Linked DNA regions of Kluyveromyces lactis. The protein of the gene in region 3 interacts with the protein of the main gene of each other region in a biochemical or structural test. Links are inferred from orthologs where the notes say so. Each region holds a gene or a part of one and is shown on either strand. Other genes may lie near its edges.

Evidence for each region.
Region 1: the proteins of NIP1 (region 3) and RPG1 form a complex in vitro, tested with the Saccharomyces cerevisiae proteins (5 studies listed by BioGRID, with this or other methods). The link is inferred for Kluyveromyces lactis from reciprocal best matches to the Saccharomyces cerevisiae genes NIP1 and RPG1.
Region 2: the proteins of NIP1 (region 3) and TIF5 form a complex in vitro, tested with the Saccharomyces cerevisiae proteins (6 studies listed by BioGRID). The link is inferred for Kluyveromyces lactis from reciprocal best matches to the Saccharomyces cerevisiae genes NIP1 and TIF5.

Annotation. Positions count from the first base shown.
Region 1 is NC_006039.1:1,266,388-1,270,334, forward strand, and holds RPG1 (translation initiation factor eIF3 core subunit a), read right to left. Parts: upstream 2,801-3,947; coding exon 23-2,800; downstream 1-22. Other genes in the region: AAA family ATPase SEC18, read right to left, coding at 3,118-3,947.
Region 2 is NC_006041.1:551,952-555,037, forward strand, and holds TIF5 (translation initiation factor eIF5), read right to left. Parts: upstream 1,932-3,086; coding exon 735-1,931; downstream 1-734. Other genes in the region: BIR1 (survivin), read right to left, coding at 1-160; EMC2 (Emc2p), read left to right, coding at 2,462-3,086. UniProt on the Saccharomyces cerevisiae protein: Catalyzes the hydrolysis of GTP bound to the 40S ribosomal initiation complex (40S.mRNA.Met-tRNA[F].eIF-2.GTP) with the subsequent joining of a 60S ribosomal subunit resulting in the release of eIF-2 and the guanine nucleotide.
Region 3 is NC_006042.1:279,730-284,209, forward strand, and holds NIP1 (translation initiation factor eIF3 core subunit c), read right to left. Parts: upstream 2,886-4,480; coding exon 426-2,885; downstream 1-425. Other genes in the region: BGL2 (glucan 1,3-beta-glucosidase), read right to left, coding at 3,775-4,480. UniProt on the Saccharomyces cerevisiae protein: Component of the eukaryotic translation initiation factor 3 (eIF-3) complex, which is involved in protein synthesis of a specialized repertoire of mRNAs and, together with other initiation factors, stimulates binding of mRNA and methionyl-tRNAi to the 40S ribosome.

The DNA.
Region 1 (3,947 bases), on a different chromosome or scaffold from region 3:
TCTGAATGAGATATGCAAGATATTAACCTCTTCCAGCATTCATTCTCTTCAGTCTCAACTTTTCAGCCATAGACATTGGTTTATTGGATACCGGAGCAGTTTGTGCTGGTGCTGGTGCTGGGGTTGGAGTAGAAGGAACAGGGCTAGATCTAGAGCTACCGTTCTTCTTTTCAAGAAGTTCTTCGATTTCTCTTTGCTTTCTAGCAATTTCGTCTCTTTCCTTGTTGATTCTTTCACGTTCGGCACGTCTCTTGGCAAGTTCTTCCTCCTTAGCCAAAGCCTCCTTTTCAGCAGCTTCAGCTTCAATTGCAGCTTGTATTTCAGCAACTTTAGCTTCATAACGTTCCTTACGGACTTGTTCAATTCTTTGCTTCTTAGCTTCTTCTAATTGAGCTTCCTTCAAGGCGCGTTGTTTTTCTAACTCTTCCTTCTTTTCAGCGATAACAGATGACTTGTATTGGTTGAAAGTACTGTAGATTTTGTTCAAACGTTGATGTAGAGCCAATTTCTTTTCATAGTCGGCCTTGGAAGTCTCAATTAACTTCTTCTTGAAATTGTCGTAATTCTCTCTATCCCTCTTTTTTTGCTCTTCAGCGTCCTTTTCTAACAATGGCAATTCCATTTGTCTATAGGCTCTTTCCAGGTGATCTAACTTCTTGAAGGCATAGGTCATACGTTCAGTCAAATCCTTCTTGTTCTTGGCTACTTGTTCAATGACCATTTGGTTGATCTTATCACTTGTTAGGTTCTTGGCTTCCTTTGGATCAATATGAATGACACCATTGGCATTAGTTTCAGCAATCAACTTCTTCATTTCTTGTTCATGGATCGCTTCTCTCTCACGTTCCATCATTTCTTCAGCACGACGTTCCGCTTCTTTCTCCATAGAAGATTCAACAGCAGCCTTTTCCTCAGCCATACGTCTTTGCCTTTCTTCTAGAGCCTTCTTGGCAAGAATCTTGTTTTCTTCTTCGCTTCTCTTCTTGCGTTCAGCGTTACTCTTAGCTCTAATTTCAGCAGCTTCCTTTTCTAACTTGATAACTTCTTCCTTTCTTCTGATCAATTCTTCACGCACAAGTTTGACTCTGTAATAGTAAGAACCATTTTCGTATTCTTCGTTGGCCTTTAAGATCTTGGATAGATCAGTCAACTTAGAACGGACTTCTGAGTTACGAGTGAAGACTTGTTCATTCTGTTCCTCATCAGCATGCGTTTCTTGGGAGGTTTCCTCTTCGGATTCAGAGTTCTTTGCTTCATCAGAAGTGCTAGATTCGGGAACTTCAACAAGAGATGCTTGCCAAGCGTCAAATGGATCTTGGGCAAATGAAACGGTATCAGTTTCATGGTCAATGGAAATACTAACATAATCATCCATAGCAGCTTGGATTAAGTATTTTTCTAGTTCAAAAACAGATAATTCGAAAGGAGCTGGCAGTGACAACATTTCATGCAATTCAACTAAGTGAATAGATGTTTGAGCCTTTGAGACTTCAATGATGGATCTTCTGATGAATAGGTTTCTCAATGGAGCCACGTATTGGGCGAAATATGGCTTTTCAACCAAGTTTGGCAAAAGTGCAGACAATTGAGACTTAGCAGACTTCACATCGAAATTAGTTTCCAATATATTGAAGAATTTCAAAATATCAGCGTCAGCTTTCTCTACGACTTGTTGTTCACCAGCAGCAGTAATCAAATCCTTTCTCTTTGGTTTACTTTCAAGGTCTAGTAAGTCACATAGACGAATTTGAGGATCGAAACCAGCAATTGGTAAGTCATCCAATTGAATTGCCAAAGCGGACAAGACAAATTGAGATGAATAGAACTTAAAGTCTTCTTCGGAAGCATTTGGATTCTTCAAGTACAAATTGTAGAATTTTTCCCATGCAGCAGCGTGCAATAAATAGTTACCAGAGACAAAGAAGATCTTGGCCAAATTTTCGTAGTAGTTGGCCAACACAGAGGGCTTTGGAGCACGCTTCGAGAGACGCATCAAATGATGAACATCTTCAATGGATCTGAAAGCTTCATGCCATAATTCCAATTTAACAGAAACGTTAACTTGTTGGAAACGTTGGTCAGAATAACGTTGCAAAGTGTCAGGATCTGATAAATCGACAGTGTGGTGACCATATCTCTGTTGTTGGTAGTTTGCGGCATCCAAATGTTGACGTAACATTTCAGCTAAACGCTTGAATTCATTCTTACGGTTATATTTGTAACAGAATTGCATGGTTCTGTTAACAACACCCGCATACGTGATTTCCAATTGAGAATTATTTCTCAAGAAATCTAGAGTGGTACGGTAAGATTCCCAGGTAAATCTCAACCAAGCTGAAACATCATCATTGTTGAATCCACCAACAGTTTGTTCTTGTTCGTAAACAGAAACCAACAAATTTTCTGGGGTGACACCACCCTCTAGATCCTCTTCGGCTTGGTCCTTGTTGGATTCTTCTTTGGCATCAGTTTGCGCTTGGATGTTGGTCATCTTAGTTTCGATCAAATCGATGAATTTACGAGCAACAGCACCTACAGAAATCAAACCTTCGGGAGTGTGTTGCATATGCTTCTTGTATTGGTATAAACCTTCCTTGATCATTTTACCCTTCCTCAATTCAACACCAAGTTCCAAGAACTTGAAGATTATAGGTTCCAAAGTGGCAGCATCAGCAAAACGAGACCTTCTTGAAGATAATAAATCAAATAGAGATTGCAACGCAGCCATTGGCTCGCCAACAGAGACTAATTCGTCAGCTCTTCTAATGGCATTCTCAGGACGTAAAGCCGGTGGAGCCATGATGAAATGCTAGTATAATCGATGGGTCGAGAACGGTTGTTATCTACCCTTTCTAAATCAGAGACTAGATCCAAGTATATATCTTTATTTTGCAAGGTGCAATAGGAAGAAGTTTCACATAAATAGACTGAAAAGTTTTTTTTCACTTATTCTCTTTGATCTTCAACGGAAGCATGCTGAAAAATTTCAACCTTCATCAAAAGTTGATATCATTGAGAACGAAGTTGAAGTTTATGTGCTATGTCGCGAGTACATATCACATATGTATAATATATATATATATATAAATGTATCATATTAGAAATGAATAGTATAATTCAAGATGATTGCACCATTAGATCAACAAGTTCATTGACGGGATCCTCATCGTGTCTTGCTGTTTCAATGTTTGTGAGTACTTTTTTCACGCCGACGTTGAGAGTAGATGTAACTTGGGATAATTTGCGGATAACTTCGACTCTACCAGCATCGTCAAGAAATCCGGAATCTGTCATAATGTTATTCAGTTCATCTAGGTTTGATACGTTTGGGACAGCAATTTCGTTGTCGAAACAACTTAGTATATCCATTTGCTTAAGCACCGTGTAAGCGGACGTAGTAGAGATGATAAGCAAACGACGATTATTTGGAGGTTTTCTTTTCAAATAGACCTTGAGTACTTGTAGGATATTATTAGAGAACCTTGGACCAATTGGAACCCAGTCAACTAGAGTCTCTATCGAATCGATAACTAGAATGTTAAGTGGCGATTTGTAAGCATCTCTGAAGGTATTGTCGATGTATGCGATCTTGGCCGTTTCCGACATACCTGCTATTTCTTCAGGGGAAATTAATCTAACAAATGGGAACTCAGACTTCAATGCAATGGCGGCAGCTAAGGCAGTTTTTCCTGAACCTGGAGGACCATGCACTAGTAAGGATACTAGTCTTGATTTGTCTGACTCTCTCACTTGACGGACGTATCTAGCACCGTTTTTCAAAATGTCGTCTACGGAGTTGGAGAACCTAAAGACTCCACCTTCTACGCAAGTCTTCAAATCTTCTTCACTAACACCAAACGCAGGAGTCACTTCATCTAACGCATTCAAGAAATCTTGTCTAGTCACCTTCATGTTTGCAATGTCTTTGGTTTTTAGTTTGGTTGCCC
Region 2 (3,086 bases), on a different chromosome or scaffold from region 3:
CTAATTCAACCGGTACAACAGGTTTAGTTCTCGGTCTACCACGTTTACGCTTTTCTGCTTTGGGCAATTTAGGCGTGTTCAAAGAGCCTATTTGCTGCAAACTCGATTCCTCTGACAGGAATGAAAGATCCATTGCAGACGAGAGGTTGGAATCATTCATTGTTACAGTACGCCATAGAAATCAAACCTACAGATCATTCATGTAATGAAACCGTCTGATGAAAGTGTATTTTTACTCTTCTTCCAACAAGATTCGCACCCTATTCTTCTCTTTTGACAGGACCTAGTATTCTTCTTGTCCATTCAGGATGTAAATATGATTTGATCTCAAATTGTGTCTTCTTTTTCCACGAAAGTGTAAACAAAAGAGAGAAAAGGATCATCACAGCTGAATATTGAAAGACAATAAATAGGTTATAAGAAGACAAGGGCAGGTCGGCACGGCGCACCTATCAGTGCCATTCTTGAGCCGCTAATGATGTATGCGCAAGGTCATGAATGTATTAAACATATGCGTATATATGATAGTATACATACAGTATTTTACAGAGCTAAAGGATAAATATTGAAGAGATTTAGTTCGCTCTTGATAAAATGAAAATGATATTTATTCTGTTAATGCAAAACAAGGAGATGGTTAGGATGATAAATAGAAAACGAAACACCGAAAAATCTGGTTAAAATTTGAATAGTATTTGAACTTTGACCATTTTCTTATAAGATCATGATTTTCTTTATTCCGAATCCTCATCATCTTCTTCGGCAGTTTTCAACCAAGTGATGAATGGCTTGGCAGCTCTACGAACCTTCTTAGAAACATCCTTTGGTACAAACTTCTTAGAGCATTTGGTACCGAAGCTGATAATCTCTTCTTCGGAAATGATGTCGTTGTTGTATAATTGGACCAAGATCTTTGGTAGTAATGGGATCAATTCTTGGTGATCAAGTCCAAGGAATCTTTCAATACCACCCAAAAAGTTCTTTTCGAAGTCTTCGTCCTTCAATAATTTTTGCAAGAACGCAGTATGTTCAGAGATATCCGATACGATATCTTCATCGAAAAGAACTTGGGCCAGAACTGCAGCAACCTTTGGATCTTCCAGAAGCTCGAGTTCTGCAATCTTTTTGTATAATTCAATATCGGTAGGTAGTTCTTCTTCATGTAGTACCCATTCACCAAATTCTTCCAACTTGGAGAATTCGCCAGTTTCTTTGTCAGCTTCACCTTGTAATTCTTTCGCACGAGCTCTGATGGCTTCTTCAGACATATCAACGGCCCAGTCCTCATCCTTGACTTCAATGGTAGCCAAGTTAGAGGCAGCGGCATTAATTTGTCTGGCCAATTCATCATCATCGGAATCGTTTTCTTCGGCATCGTCACCAGCTTCAGCTTGGGATTTACCTTGAGCGATATCACTAATAGAAAGACCACCACCTCTGACATTAGCAGACGCAGTGGCAGCCTTCTTCTTTTTCTTGGAACCGTTCATACTGTCAGGAGGGTTCTTTAAGACGAACGAGGACAACTTATGTCTCAAATCCATAGGGGTTCTCTTACCACAAGCTTTACAGTCTCTAACCAAATCACCATCTTTAGTGATAACAATTTCAGTTTCAGGATTCTTACAGGATCCACAAAGGACAAACTTAGTGATGAAACCATCCAATACGTCCTGTAATTTGGCTGGTTGATGAGCACCATTGACAATGTAACGATCATTTTCAACATTGATAGCAGTTTGGGCACCCAATTCAAACCCGAAATATTTGATGATGTATGGAGCTGGTCTGTTTAAAGCACGGGCAACATCCATGGTATTCATAACAACAGTTTTGATACCATTACCTCTACCTTCAATCTTAGCCTGAATTGGAGGCATTTTATAACGGTAGAAAGGGTCATTGTTGTCTCTGCAAATATTGATTGACATCTTCGGCTACTGTTACTAATCTCTAGTCACTTGTTTCTGCTACCACCGTGTCTTTGACGTTCTTCAAGTCTGGAAAACACAAAAACTTTTAAAAGTAAGTTCGAACTGATCCTGTATTGGACTGTAAAACGGGGTCATTAACGCCTTCTTGAATCATGTATATGGAAGAAGTTCATCTCATCTCTTAGAAGTTCAACTTCAACTCTTCGCGTGTGGCAATCAGATACTGAGGCCTTGATTCCTGAAAAATTTTCGTCGTTTATGGTGATATGAAAATACATGTCGAAACGGAGCATGTGTCACGTGCTTTAGCTCCAACGATTCATTTGGCTCTGTGATTGTTTAAGCATCGGTTCTGTAAGAGACATATTACAGGGTATAACATGGGTGAGATACGTATGGTGGTGTTAAATGTTTGAATACCTTCAATACAATTACTGCTCGTGGAATTTAGTGAGTAATTTACTGTGTTGAAATTGTGCTCGAATCTCACATACATCTTAGGGTCGAAATCTAACTTTGTTCATATCATGGATTTACTTAAGAACAAATTACTGGCAATCCATAAGACTGGCGCATGGGCCATTCTGCCACCTAAAGAAATTGATTTGGCTTATAAGGAAACGAAACTTTTGATAGATGCTGGGTTAAATGGGCTTGACGAAATTAGTTATTTCTCAATGGTCGAATTATTGTTTTATCTTTGTCTTGTTCGTGGTGAAGACACAGAGGCTGAAACATTGTACAAAACTGTGACAGATCGTCTAGGTGACGATTCTCCAAGAATTCATGTGATGCACTCTATGTTAATACAGGTCACTCGATCCGATGATGCGGCTAAGAAATATATCGAGGATTTGATCAAGAATCAGCTGGAAATAGCTACTGATTCAGAAGACTACGTACAGATGAAGAAAAGGCTACTTGCGATAGAGAGACCTTCGATGAGTAAAGAAAAATGGGTAAAAGAACTACTGGATCTGGTTGAGAAGTTTCCTCTAGATGCAGAAATATGGTCGTTACTTTCGCAAGAATACCAGGAGGCTGGGGACCTACGTCAAGCAATATATTGCATGGAAGAAGTCATAATTGGGGTGCCGTTCAGTTATGAAGCATTTGGTCAATTAGCTTATTTGCATTACTTGAAGTCTCAAT
Region 3 (4,480 bases):
ATAAATATGGGATGATATTCCTCTAACCATGTATAACTAGCAAGGTAAGTGGTTTATTCCAACTGATAACATACATTTGTCCATAAATGTGTATCATATACATATATATATAGAATGAACCAGCGCATAAACTGTATTGTTACGAGTCAATGTTCGAGATGTTATATGTCTCCAAAATTCAATTAATTGATTTCAAAAACTACGTAATTGCCTACAGTGAGAACTATGTTATATATTATCGATAATGTACAAATACTAGTATTTATTGCAAATGCTAAAACAAAGGTTCTTTGCCAACGACTCTGTCTATTAATATGCGCACGGTAAGTGAACAAAAGAAGGAAGAGCAAATTTTGTTATGTGTATGGAAGGTGAGTGCTACAATTAGAAACTGACCTTATCTGCTGAACGAAGAATGAAAATGTTTACTGGCGTAAACGTTCAGAGTGGTACTTGGTTTCTTTAACTAACTTGATGGCAACTTCTTCTAACTTTGTGATTTCTTCGCCTCTTTCGAAGATAATGTATTCGTTATTTTCATCCAATTTGGCTTTAACTTCGTAATCATTGATGATGTTTTGTGCTACAGCCAAAACCTTTTCGATATCAAGATCAAACAATTTCGATAATTTAGAAATGGATATTTTAGAGTAGAATCTCTTGTAAGTGAAAATGTAAGTTTTCAAAGTTTCAATTTGAACCTTTTCACTTAGTTGGTTGATGATATCATCAGATTTACTCAACAAAGACCACACAGAAATTTTCCTCAAATATTCGATCGATTGTAAGTAATCACCCTTTTGCATTGACTTTGCAGCATAAAGAATGTGATCTCTTAGAGTTTCTGGAGGACCATGGAAAATAGCTTTCTCTGAACTCTCTAGAATACGGCGGATAGATTTTTGGAAAACTGGGATTCTCTTGACCTTAATACCGCTGTAATAAGCTGCCATGTGAGGCACATCAAGTAATAAAGAACATGTCATGTAGACGGTGTCAATTAGATCCAAGTTGATGTGTTGATGGAAAGGAAGACATAATTGTTCAACAGGGGCACCCTGCACGACATTGCTGTTCGCATTAGCTCTTTGTAAACTTTGTTGACCCAAAATTTCTCTTAGATGTGGATTAATACAAAGACCGTTCAAAACTTGGTGACATTCATTTATTAAACCAGCCTTAAATGCAGCCAAACCAAGTTGAATAACACATCTATTGTACAAAATTTGTAATGCTGCATCAGAGCCTGAAATGAATTTAGCAATATCGGAAGAAAGCATTATTTTCTTTGCTGGAGCGTATTCTTGGTTCAATGCAATATAATATGTTTTGTACAAGGTACCTTTTCTGTAGTTGAACACGTTGTTACTCTTTTGTTTAATTAAGAAATCGGACAATTCAGAGATGACCTTGAAGTTGTAATCGGCATCTGCGGAATCTGATTCATTCAAACGAACGAAAGAGGATTCAAGGGACGCAGTTCCTTCACGAATTTGTTTCCATGCAACGGTTTCCATAATAGAGATGAGCTTGTCGGACTTGTAGTAGATATGTTCAAGTCTTCTGTTGAAGACACGGGCCAAAAGTCTATCGCGGTGTTCTTCTGCAGTTACACGTTCAAAGTACAATTGGGATCTGATAATCAAATTGTAAATAGATTGTTCATCTCTCAAACGTTCCATGTATTCACTGGAACGAGTGTCAATGTTCAAAAGGGATTTGCTAAATTCATCGTCCAATCTTTCAACCATAGAGAAGATAGAACCCAAAATTTCCTTGACACCATGCTCATTAGCTTCTGGTTCATCTTCAATGAAATCATTTCTTGGGGCAAATTCAGTAACTTGATAGTGGTCGATCTCTTGTTCCAGCACTTCCAATAAACCATCCAAGTTATCCTTTGATGCTTTCCATTGTTCTAGTGGTTGGTATGATAAGGATACAGATGCATCGAATCTGATTGGAATCAAGTTCAAGTATGTACAGATCTTTTCATATGGAGTCTTGGCAATCTTCAATAGTTCTTCGGTGGTTTTAATTTGTTCTGTGTGGTCAGTGTTTTTCTTACCTCTAGAATCGATGATAATATTCAACGTCTTGAAAAAGTCTAGCTCAGAAATGTTATTTGCCACGGATGCCAAGTCTAAATTCTTCTTACCACTCAAGGAGAATGGAGTAGCAGAGACATCTCTTGAGTCTATATCAGCATCTAAGACAGGTTCCTTGTCAAAGTCCTCTGGGTTTTCTCTGTAAGCCTTAACGGAGGTTTCGTTTTCTCTGATTAACTTCTTAACTCTTTGCTTGGTGGTGTTATAAGCTCTTGCAACTGCCTTATTCTTAATTTCATCCTGAGAAGTAGCAGATACCGCATCTTCAAATCTAGCCAATGACTTCACAAAGATATTAGGTGTACCGTAGTTTTGTTGTTGGGCTTTTGTGTATAATTTCAAAATGGTTTCCAAATGGTTTAATAATGATTCCCAATCTTGTTGGGCTTCTGCGGAATCAATTTTTTGGTAAATAGATTTCATTTCATCCAACAACTTCTCTTTTGCTGACTTCACAACCTTCTTACCATCTTCTTCGTCGGATGAGTCTTCATCAGATGAATAGTTGGTAGATTTCAAGAACTTGTTAGCACCTGAACCACCACCTTTTCTGAATTCTGGCTTCTTGAACCAGTCAGGGCCGTAGGGTTTGCTATCAGAATCATTGTCTTCATCATTATCGGAACTCTCATCAGAGTCGTTGAAGAAAGAGTCATCAGATAATTCTTCCTCACTGGAGGATGAAACTAAATCCTCTTCACTTTGAGATAACAAGTCTTCTTCTTCACCAGAAGACGTTGAATCGTACTCATATGTCTTCAAAAAAAAACGGGACATGATGAATGGACTATCGCTTAACGTTGTTCTATTTCCTTAATACCACGTACTAATCTCAACCTAGTCTCCCTGTTACGACCTGGTGATTCCAACCTACAATTGAAAAGTATTGCTTATTACACGTCTCAACTGAATTTCATCTATTAATTCGATTTCAAACCTTTCAGATTTTCTTTTGAGATGAGCTTTCACTGAGTGAAAATTTGTGAAAATTTTCAAATAATCATGGAACACGATTGGTAGCCGGGTAATGATAAATGAATGTACCATTGCAAAGAACAAAGTGAAGTGGGAGTCTGTCGCCGGTTGATGTTAGGCCAAAATGGACGTCTAACTTTGTGTGATTGCGTATAATCATCGATGATAAATAGGGTATAAAATAATATCGATTTAATTTAGTTATATGAAAAGTGAAATATAGATGTTGCTAAGAAATAAAATAATTTTGAAGCTTTCATACCATATACGATGCCTTCTTGATCGATGTTTTGTGGGCATACTTCGACAACGGGATAGATACATTTATGGTTCATGAAAATGTTCTGCTGTTGTGATATATAAAGTACTCTTTTAATGTTCTTTTTTTTTTTTAGTCCAGGAATTAAAATGGATAGTATCGCAATTTGAAGAATTCAAGTAGGTAATAAGTTAATATCACCTTTAGATAACAGCCGTAGTAACAAGTATGAATGGATCAATTTGCTGAAGGAATGTGTGACCTAAATGTGACATGAAAGCTTCATTTGTATAATTTTGAGTTGTTAATAGGAGACGAAAGGAAACAACAAGTCAACAATTATAACCGGTATCAAATGAGAAAGTGGAAGGGTAAAAAAAATACACACAATCTGTATTGTATGTTAAAGAGAAGAGAAGCTCAACTCAAAAATTAAGAGCTGAAATCACAATCCAACTTGAACTTCAAGTTTCTGTTGGCATCCCAAACACCCCAGTACTTTTCAACATCGGAAATACCAGAAGTATCTGGTTTCCAGTCCTCATCGAAAGCTTCGAAAACGATAACGTTGACACCCCAGCCTCTCATAGCACAAATACCATCAGCCCAAAATTGCTTAGCGTTATCTAGACCTGGGTAAGCACTTTCAAAGTTGGTACCATCGGTTGGCCAGCCAGTTTCACCAACCCAGAATTGAATGTCAGTAGAACCCTTGGTAGTTTGGATAGTTTGTAGAGCTTGCATGATATCGTCGAAGAACGAGTAAGAAGCATTATCCATAGTTTGACCTTGCCAGTAAGAGAAGGCGTTCGCCATGACAAAGTCAGCAGCTTGAATGGCGGTAGCAGATCCACCATCGACCAAAACGTTCCATGAGTCAACAGTACCGACTTGCTTGCCACTGTAAGAGTTACCATCGGAATCCTTGATGTCTTTAATGTAGTCCTTGACATCAGAGATAGCATCTGCCAATTCAGAAGCAGTCATATCTTCACGGTACAAAGCTTCGGAACCAACCAAGAAGGCTTCGATGGTAGAAGTTTTGATCCATGGCAAGTATTGAGTCAAAGCTTGCTTTTCTTCTTCGAAATGAGCAGAATCAGTTGGCCAAATACCCAAGAAAATGGTAAATCCGGCT